2 linked regions of the Drosophila melanogaster genome follow. The protein of the gene in region 1 purifies or fractionates together with the protein of each later gene. This does not show direct contact. Each region holds a gene or a part of one and is shown on either strand. Other genes may lie near its edges.

Evidence for each region. The genes of interacting proteins can lie anywhere in the genome.
Region 2: the proteins of Trmt6 (region 1) and CG17187 purify together in Drosophila melanogaster (affinity purification with mass spectrometry, with the first as the bait; one large-scale study listed by BioGRID). This does not show direct contact.

The regions. Positions count from the first base shown.
Region 1 is NT_033779.5:6,558,572-6,564,372, forward strand, and holds Trmt6 (tRNA methyltransferase 6 non-catalytic subunit), read right to left. Parts: upstream 3,090-5,801; 5' UTR 2,997-3,089; coding exon 2,006-2,996; intron 1,946-2,005; coding exon 1,602-1,945; 3' UTR 1,481-1,601; coding exon of another isoform or gene 1,197-1,480; 3' UTR 1,141-1,196; coding exon of another isoform or gene 960-1,140; 3' UTR 855-959; downstream 1-854. Other genes in the region: COX5B (cytochrome c oxidase subunit 5B), read left to right, coding at 1-20, 368-474; COX5BL (cytochrome c oxidase subunit 5B-like), read left to right, coding at 960-1,140, 1,197-1,480; Ent2 (equilibrative nucleoside transporter 2), read left to right, coding at 4,126-5,502.
Region 2 is NT_033777.3:11,229,763-11,234,471, reverse strand, and holds CG17187 (uncharacterized protein), read left to right. Parts: upstream 1-2,592; 5' UTR 2,593-2,763; coding exon 2,764-3,663; 3' UTR 3,664-3,855; downstream 3,856-4,709. Other genes in the region: Arfip (arfaptin), read left to right, coding at 28-550, 902-1,070, 1,148-1,255, 1,346-1,390; Dph3 (diphthamide biosynthesis 3), read right to left, coding at 2,054-2,131, 2,204-2,278, 2,348-2,455; GCC88 (GRIP and coiled-coil domain containing 88 kDa), read left to right, coding at 4,023-4,104, 4,158-4,709.

The DNA.
Region 1 (5,801 bases):
TCGCATTGTGGGCTGCATCTGTAAGTAGTCCAACAACACCAGCTGCGGTCAGGATAATGGCAGAGATTGGAGTATTCTATCAGCCGTAAAATTTGCATTCTATTCTGTTTAGGTGCATTTCAATGACGTTTCTGTGCGAAGCAAAATTTAATTCCTTTCATTGTAATATTTATCCAATTGAGTCGCTTTAATTTAATTAAGTTTTGAGCTCTGATTAGCTACACACCGCGTTTAAACGTTTTCATATATTATTTTGAATAATTGCACACACTCCAACTAAGGAAACCTTAATGCCTTTATCCTGACCAAAAATAAAGCCCATCATTCCAGTAGAGTACTTTCTAACAAACCTTTCATTCCAAACCAGGCGAAGAGGATCAGACCTACGTGCAATGGATGTGGCTGCAGAAGGGCAACCAGAAACGTTGTGAGTGCGGCCATTGGTTCAAGCTGGTGGAGAAGGCAGCTGTTTAAAGTTATTATTAATTAATTCAATAAACCAATTAATAACAAAAACACAACAACTACTAAGCTAAAAGTCAACCCACTTAGCTGTCCAAATAAACAAACATCAACCCAAAAAAAAAAAAAAAAACGAAACTGTGAACAGAGAGGAGTGAAAGGGCGGCACAGCTTCCATTTTCAGATCTGCAAACGTGTTTTCGAACGCAGCCGAGGAAAATTGCTTAATTAACACAAAAAGCGAACAATAAAGTCTAAAGAAGAGATTTTGAGTGAAAATCAAAGGATTTATTTTAAAAAAGCTTGTCTAAAGACAGAAGAAAGTTGAATTTCGTTTAAAAATGTTTAAAATCGCAGAACTAATTTAATTTTAATAAGGCAGTAGGCGTCTTAATAAGAAATCAAACATTTTCAAAACCCTTTGATCAGATTCAACTCACTCAAAGTGGGAAATTCTCGTGTGATAACCATAATTTTCTAGATAAACTCCTTTAAAAATGTCGTCCTACATTTCGCGTCTACTTAAGGCTCAGTCCGCCTCCAAACGTCTGATCTCCAATTTAACCCAGCGCGACGGAAAGCTAAGCTCTTTGCTTCGACGACTAGGTTTACAGTGGCAAGGATCAGCCGCTGCTCCTCAACAGCGTCCCATATCCACAACTCAGGTGCAAAAGTCAGGTAAGTAGTGGTTGCAGCTTGCAAAGATCTCCAGTTCAGGTCTCATGCCCGATTAGCGCTAATTGCGGACGATCAACTGGTCACCGGGATTCAGAAGCGCGAAATGCTGCTGGCCAAGCAGGGCTGCGAGGACCCTTGGGGTTTCAGCAAGGTGATCAGGCGCGGATCGGGAAGGGAGAACGACCCCACCGTCGTGCCATCGGCGTTCGATGCACGCCTCGTAGGCTGTCTGTGCCTGGATGACCGCTTGCCCAAGTGGATGTGGATTGAGAAGGACGAGGGACCGAAGCGGTGCGAGTGCGGCCACTACTTCATCCTCAAGAATGTCCCACCCGTTTAGATCGATCACACAGAGCGCTGTACTTAACACGAACACACTTGGCATGATCCTCAGCTGGCATTAAACATTGCATGATATTATCAAAACAAAGGCTTACATGTATTTGTTAGACGCACAACAACTATCTAAGCGTATAGCCCGTCAAAAGGTAGCCACTATTTCCGCTCATATTCACTTCCGGATGTGTGCGATTGGGCAGGATCTGGTAGGTGCGCAGCCAGTTCGAGGTCAAGTGCAGACCCGTCACCTTGCCTGTTGTTTTCAGCTCCATGAATGTCTCTTGTAACAGCTCCTTGCAGGTGCTGAATACCACCACGGGTCTTGAGGGTTTCACAAGAGGCAGCAGGGCTTGCAGAATGTTGGATGGGTGCTCCTTGGCGGCCACCACCAGACTGTCGAATTCGGCGTGCATCAGGGCCGTGGCCCGCTTGTTTTCCAAATGCCAGCGCGGAGGTCCCTTTGCTCCTATAACAACAGAAATAGTATTTGTACTTGTCTTGATTAGTTTACTATTGTGACCAATACCTTCTCTACCACTATTTGACTCATCCAGCTTGGGTTTCTTTGTGGTCGGTTCTATCGCCTCAGGTTGTTCCTCCGTTGGCGTCTCCAGCTGGGTTTCCTGAGGTTCGTTTTCACTGGGCTCCACAACGGGAATATCTGTGGCCTTCGCGTCCCCTCCTTGGTAAAACTCCCTTAAAACGGAATAGAGATTAACGGAAACACATCGCTGTTGCTGCTCCAGGGGTAGTTTCAGAGCTGAGAGCGCCTGCTTCTGGGGCACATTGCCCGGGTGCATGTGCACCAGGGTGCCCTCCGTGCCTGCGCCTATAGAGTTGAGCATGGCAGCCGGCAGTAGACCATTGGTACCACTCTCGTACAGCAGATAGCTGCCGAATCCACAAACGCCCGAGTAAGAAATAATTTGCGATAAAGTGTCAACGCGAATGCCCATGACCTTTTCCGAGTCTTGGCGGTAGAAGATGTCCAGCATCAGACGGATCGTTGGCTGGCGGATTTGAACGAACTCGAAATACTTTTTCTCCTTCTTTAGCAGGTACTTCTCTTGGGAGTACTCCGTTCGGTTGTGGAAAGTCTTAGAATTCTCCACCAGCTTCTCGATGATTTTGCTGGAGTCGTTGCACTCCTCACGCAGCTGCGCAATGTCCTCTGGTTTCAGGGTCTGCGCTTCTCCATCATCCCGGATGTCCCGATTATCCGCTCCACTGCTGGAGATGCCCAGAACCTCTCGCGTGCTTCTCAGCTCAGTCTCGCTGCACAGCTCCAAGGTGTGTTGTCTCTGGGCGCCCCTTTTACCCGGCTTTGTCTCTTTGACGCACATCTTGAACGTGGAGCCATAGGGTTGGTCCAAAAGAGACTTCAGCTCCAGTGTTTCTTTGCCCAATGTGGCCGTGGTGTCCAGACTGCCGAATTTTTGTAGCTTCGTATATTTCTGCCGCTGGATGACGATGTAGTCGCCCAATTGGATTCTGGGGATGTCCTCTTCGGTGGCCATGGTTGCAACTCTATGTTATAATTCTTATAAACAACGTGTTTGTCGAAAACAAACGAAAGCCGCAAATTCTATAGAGAAGAGGAAGAGAAATTCAGTGCTGGAAAACGGACAAAATCTGGTAATCTAGTCACCTGTTGCATGTGATTAGTAACGAAATTTTAAATAAAGAGCTATAATTAACAACAAATTATTTTCTTAATTTGGCAATACAAATTCATTTATGCAAACAAGAATATTTGGATTGATATTTGACTGATCTGGCAGCTCCATTACCTGTTGCTTGGCCAAATGTTTCACAATTCTAATTAAGAAATAACCATGAGTACTTATACCAAAAATTTCATTTACTTTAACTAATTAATTTTTGATCATGCAATTAGAACATTCAAGCACAATATCAATACTCCTAGTTAAAATATACACAAAAATAATATACAACAAATATGTACATACATTACCCATTTTTGAGATAAGTGGCTGTTTGCTGTTGTGCTTTAATAAGTAGAGTTGGTTGCTATGAATGCTTAAGTTGAACATGGGTGTAGCTAACAGGGATGGTGAAAGTGTGAGTAAATACCTTGAATTACTATGACTAAGTAATAATCATTGCCAAAAATACATTATTTACTGCCCATACTTACGGTCCCTCTTGGCGATTACGGAAGGGAAGGACTGCGCCCATGCGTAACGGCACCCCTCAAATCGCTTGTATCGACGCCCATAAATCATAATTTTCAACGGTGTGGCAACGCCGTTCGATCGAGTACAGCTGATACAACGCGGCGATAATCTTGTAGTGCGGTGCGGTTTTAACCTTTGATTGGATCTGTGTTGTAATCAGCGCTCTTCGGGCACTGCAGTTGCGTCTCCACGTGACCACTAGTTCCAGGCGAACCCCCCGCCACGAGGATATACCCTAATCCCGAAATCAGAGTGCTGTCGCAGGCGCAGGGAAAATCAAACCTTCCCGCCCTCCTACCGGTTTTGTGGCCACCGCGAAAATAACTGACCGCGCAAGTTTTCGGGTTTCAAGCAAACGCCTCAAGCACACGCCCCAATAACTGCTGTCGCCCGCATCAGCAGAACCAGAAAGAAATCCGAGCCAGAGCAGAACAGAAGTCGCGCAGATATGGCGGAGGCTAAATCGGAGAAGTCGCCTTTTATTGGCAAACAGCAGGCGCCGGTGACGTTAAATCCCTCGTGGGAATCCAAGTTGCCGCCCCATGATTCCAACGGCAAGGGATCAACGTCGGTGTTGGCGAAACTGGGCCTGCCAGCGCCAAAAGATAAATTCCTTATCGTGTTCTTTATATTCCTGCTGCACGGCGTGGGCACGCTGATGCCATGGAACATGTTCATCACGGCCAAGTCCTATTTCGAGGACTTCAAGTTCGGACCAAACAACACCGTGGCCACGGAAGTGAGTTACCGCACCCATTTCATGCAAAATATGGGCTTTGCCTCGCAGATTCCTAACCTGGTCTTCAACTGGCTGAACATCTTTGTCAACTTTGGCGGCGACCTGACCACCCGAATCGTCTACAGCATCATCTTCGAAATGGTCATTCTGCTGGTTACCATTATTTTGGCCATGCTCGACTCCTCGCAGTGGCCGGGCGTCTTCTTCTGGACCACCATGGTGTGCATTGTGTTGTTAAACGTGTGCAACGGCATCTACCAGAACACCATATACGGAATAGTGGCATCGTTGCCCATCAAGTACACAGGCGCCGTCGTCCTGGGCTCCAACATCAGCGGCTGCTTCACCACCGCCATGGCCTTGATATGCGGTGAGATCTTCTCGTCCAAGAGGACTTCGGCCATCTACTACTTCGTGACCGCCATCCTAGTGCTGCTGCTCTGCTTCGACACGTACTTTGCGCTGCCGCTGAACAAGTTCTTCCGGCACTACGAGACCATTAGCCGGAGCAGCGAAAAGAAATCTGATTCTAAGGCCCAGCTGAACGTGCCTTACTGGCAGATCTTCAAGAAAGCAGCGCCCCAACTATTCAACATCTTCCTCACGTTTTTCGTCACGTTGTCGGTTTTCCCGGCGATTCAGTCGAACGTGCACCGCTCCGACCCAAATTTCGTAGTAGGCCCGGACTACTTTACACTGGTCACTTGCTTCGCGACCTTTAACGTCTTCGCAATGCTGGGCAGTTTAACCACATCGTGGGTGCAATGGCCGGGTCCGAGGTTCCTCTGGGTGCCAGTGGTCTTGCGTCTGGCGTTCATCCCCTTGTTTGTCATGTGCAACTACGTTCCGCCGGACTCGGTGCGCTCATTGGCCGTATTCATCGAGAACGATTGGGTGTACTGGGGCATCGGCATCGCAATGGCCTACAGCTCCGGGTATCTCAGCTCTCTGGGCATGATGTACGCCCCGCAGACGGTGCACACCAAATACCAGACCACTGCCGGAATGTACGCAGCTGCCATGCTGATCACGGGCATCTTCTCCGGAGTGCTGTTCTCGTATCTGGGACCATTTTTCGTCGTGTAGTCTTACATTTATTAGTATGACGCTTACTAACAATTTTCATTGTTCATTGCATTGCATTATTTGACACATTTTAAATTTAGTTTTGTGCTCAATACCAGTTCCGGGACCTGGCCATTTGGTTTCGTCTTAACCAATTAATTATATTCTTTTCATTTAATAAAGGTTTTACTTTTCATTTTAATAATATGGTGTCTAATATTTCATAGTTAGACTGCACACACATAAATTTAGTTTTGCGCTCAATTCTAGTTCTAGGACTAATCAATCATTTTAACACGTTTTATTTAATAAAGTTTTTC
Region 2 (4,709 bases), on another chromosome or scaffold:
TGACTCAGCATCGATCTTTTCGTGCAGCACCCACCACACCCATGTCGCCCAGTAGTCCACCATCCGGTAACGGCATCCTGAGCCCCACGGACAGCGGGAGCGGCAGCATTATACGCACTAGCGCCTCCAAGATCGACAGTCTCAAGAACTGGAGTATATCGACGTACAAGTGTACGCGACAGATAATGCTGGAGAAGTTGGGCAAGTCGCAGCGGACCGTGGACTCGGAACTGGAGGCCCAGATAGAGCAGTTGCGCGAGACGCAGCGCAAGTATCTGTCCATCTTGAGGCTAACGCGGGCCTTTAGTTCGCACTTCCAGCACGTGGTCGTCACACAGCACGCCCTGGCCGACTCCTTCGCCGATCTGGCCCAGAAGAACCCCGAGCTGCAGAAAGAGTTCACGTGCAATTCGGAGACGCAGCGCAATCTCACCAAGAACGGCGAGCTGCTGCTTAATGCGCTCAACTTCTTTATTTCGTCGGTGAACACACTGTGCAACAAGACGATCGACGATACGCTGCTGACGATACGACAGTACGAAACGGCCAGGTAACCAAAGCTATATCCTTTCATTGTCGTGCAACAACGAAGGAAAAATCATCATCGATCTCTTCGATTTTAATTTAAACTCAGCATGTGTGTGGCTTTTTATAAAAAGTGTTGTGCCACACAGCTCTTATCAGAAATGCATTTTAAACTAGCCTTGTATACAAGCTTGAAACATTGCTTATCGTATTATTTCCTTGAAAAAATTTAAATACGTTGGATCAATTAGTCATAACCGCATTCCATGATAATCTCTACAATGGCAATAAGTTTTTATTTCCTAAAGCCATCGTATGTTTCATAAAAAGGCATGAGAATTATATGTAGTAGAAGTAATGTCCTCCTGCCTTTTAGAATCGAATTCGATGCCTACCGCATGGATTTGGAGAACACCAAGCCGGAGCTGACGCCCTCGGCCGTCGCTCTTGAGGAGACCCAGCGCAGCTATGCGCAGCACAAGGAGCAATATGAGAAGCTGCGCTCGGACGTGGCCGTCAAAATGCAATTTCTCGACGAGAATCGCGTAAGTGGTGCCAAATGGATCTTACCTATGCATTTAGCGAGACTAACCATTGATCCAATCCGTTTATCCGTCGATAGATTAAAGTGATGCACAAGCAATTGATTCTGCTGCACAATGCCATCGCTGCCTACTTCTCGGGCAATGCCATGGCACTGGAGAGCACTCTGAAGCAGTTCAACATAAAGGTGAGTGAGCATGGAAACATGGGAGCAGAGTGCTCCCATTAAACTTCGTTCGCACATTCACTTTTTCACTTCTCCTCTTGTGGCCCGCAGCTTAAGTCACCCAATGCCGTCACTGGATCCTGGCTGGAGCAGTAGATCGAGTAGACGCAGTTCGTCCCTTTCACTCGCGAAGCACTTAGGCGCGTATATTGGAGGAGATCGGGACACGTCGTCCACCTCCACTCATTTGCTGAACGAGCACGCTCTCTAAAAGAAAAAGGAAAAGATCGGTGGCAGAGATGATTCAGTATGCGATGCAGTGGACAGAAACACTGCATGGCGAACCATAACAATATTTTCGTGCTAAGTTTAAGTCGAATTCCTAAGCCGTAAGCAGAAAGTGAGAGTGGTAGGTGTATGTTATTTATATATTTTTCCAACCGCTTTCCATTGTATGTAACTCGCTGTACTACTCACATTTCCACAGCTGGTACGCTGACGTTCCTTTAACTTGTTTGTGTTTCCAAATTTTCGTTCGATTATCATCATATTGTTGTCCTCCGCGCTTGTAAAACATATATAACAAAGTGTACTCGGTGCAATATGAGTGTTTTAGTTTTAGATATTCTAGAATGTGTGTATAAATCCTTTGTAATTCACCCAAAACGAATAATCCATAACGAATCGAAACTGTTTTTGCGAGCTTGCATAATTTGAAATCATTGTTTTACTAGTCATCGTATTATTTACACTAAAATGAAGTCTATATATATATAAAAATATATAAATAAAAACTATTTAATTACACCAAACTGTGTGTTAGTTCTTCTCGAGCTTCAGGTCGCCGAGCTTCTCGTTCAGCGCACTTTCTTCATCCTCCTCAGCTTTGAACATCTCCTGAAATTCGGAAAATCAGATTGCTTGAGTTTTCTGGGGAGTTCTAGGTGTATTTCTGAATGAGTCACTTACCGGATCGTATATGACCTTGATGACTAGGGAGCAGCTGGGACAGGTGGCCACCTCCTCGCCCTCGATTAGCTCCTCCTAAAGTGGAAATTTACCAAGTGATATGGGGAGTCCAGAAAAAAAAAGGTTGCGTATACGACTCGTTACCTTGGAGATCTGAAATCGATCGCCGCATGGACAGGGATAGTAGTACATCTCCTCCTCCTCGTCGTACTCGAAGTCCTCGATCTCCACCTCGTCGTGATAGATGCTCATGACGTACCTTCAGCTTAATTCAGCGCCTAAAGGTCATATTATATTTGAGTTTTTTTTGCGATAACTTAGATTAATCCACGCCAAACAAATGGGCACGTTGTGTTGCGGGGCTGCCAACTCGTTGCAGCGAACAGCTGATCCAGTAAACAATTGCAAATGTTTTATTTGGACATTTTTGGACCGCCGGCTGCAGTTGTGAAATAAGTCTCGTATAAAATAGTATATTTTAGCTAACTTTTGCCCAAAAAAGACAAACTGCAAAACAAACCCATGTTCCAGTTGTTGAATAAGGAGTAAAATAAGACTAAATGGCTAGCAAAAAGTACAGTGACGTGAATCTTTACGATCTTCTGGGCATTTCTCTCGAGTCTGATCAAAATGAGATACGCAAGGCGTACCGCAAGAAGGCCCTCGAGTGCCATCCCGACAAGAATCCGGACAATCCGAAGGCAGTCGAGCGCTTCCATGAGTTGTCCAAGGCTCTGGAGATCCTCACGGATGAATCCGCGCGCGCAGCTTATGACAAAGTGCTGAAGGCCAAGAAGGCGGCGGAGCTGAGGAGTCGCCAACTGGACGGGAAGCGGCAGAAGCTGAAGCTGGAACTGGAGGAACGTGAACGGGCGGCACTGCACAAACTGGCGAAGAGCCAACCCTACAGCACGGTGGCCAAAAGCGACGAGGAGGTGCTGCATGAGCAGATCGAGCGGTTGCGACGCGAGGGCTCCCGTCTGCTGGAGGAGGAGCAGCGAGCCATGCAGGAGCAGTTCCGGCGGAATCACGCGGAGCAACAGAAACTGCAGCAACAGCCGGTCCAGTTTGATTCCGCCCAGCATCGCATCAAGATGAAGTGGAAGGCCGAACCTGGCCAGGATTACACACAGCAAGAGCTGCTCAAGTATCTGAAGAAGTACGGCGACGTGGTGGCCCTGGTGGTCAACAGCAAGCGACGCGGACGCGCCATGGTGGAGCTGGCCACGCGCGAAGCCTGCGACATGGTCTTGGCCTACGAAAAAGGCGATCCCGCCAAGCCGCTGCACTTCGAGTGGGTAACGCCGCCGGCGGCAGACAAGCAGACAACCAAATCGGCCACCACTGGGTGCAGTGCGTCATCCACCGACTACGAGGACCTGGTCATGCGAAAGCTGCGCCAAGCTGAGGAACGTAAGAGACTCATTGAGCAGATGATGAAGGACGAGGAGGGCGAATGAAATAAGATTTAGTTAGGCTCAACATTTAATTTACTTTAATTGGACTAATATTAATGTTTGAAAATATCTCAATTTAGCAACTATGCAGCTGATTTATAATACATTTACATTTAAAATAGTTTTTAATTTATGTAAATTTGGTTATTAATTATTTTTTGAAAAACCGCAAAAATAAAAAAAAGTTTAAATCAGAATGATGGCAATTTTTAGTGCCTGAGCAAACATGACAAGTTGGCAGGCCCGCGTGCCAGCTGCTGAAATTTGTTAATTAAAAGAAATGCAAAAATGACACGGGAGATAAATAAATTGAACTACTAAGCGAACTGAAAGTAAATGAACTAATTCCCTTTCAAGGCGAAATGGAGAAGCGACAGAGGGAGCTGGAGGCGCTGGTGTCCACCCAAAAGGAGCAACTGGGGCGCTATGAAAAGCGTCTAAAAGGTGAGACATAGATGAATTCGCAATGCAAATGGATTAATGAGCCCAATTTGTAGACGTGGTCACTGCCTACAAGGGTCTGCTTAAGGAGAAGGAGGCATTGGAGACGAGTCTGGCGGCGCATGCGGAGGCCACGGCGGTGGGCGAGTCCGGATCGCCGGCCAGGGAGTTGGAGTCCAAAAAAACCAGCACCGACTCTGCGGATGGAGCAACCGAGGGCGCTGCACCGGGTCCGCCTGCTCCCCCGGCCGAGGGTCAACTGCAGACCCAAATTATCACCCTGATGAACTCGCTGGCCACTCTTTCCGCTGAGAAATCCCGCATGGAGGCCTCCTTTCAGGCGGATAAAAAGCAACTGCGCAGCCAAATCGCCCAAAAGGAGCAGACCATTCAGGAGCTTAATACCCGGGCCAAGGAGCAGGCTGCTCGGGCCAAAAGCGACGTGGACGAGATCAAGGCCAAGTGGATCGTGGAGCGACAGGAGCGCGAGAAAGAGACCAACAACCAAATGCTCATGATCCGCGAACTGCAGAAACTCTATGCGGACGAGCGGCATCTAAAGGACAACATTGAGATGCAGTTAAACAACTTCAAGACCCAGTTCGCCA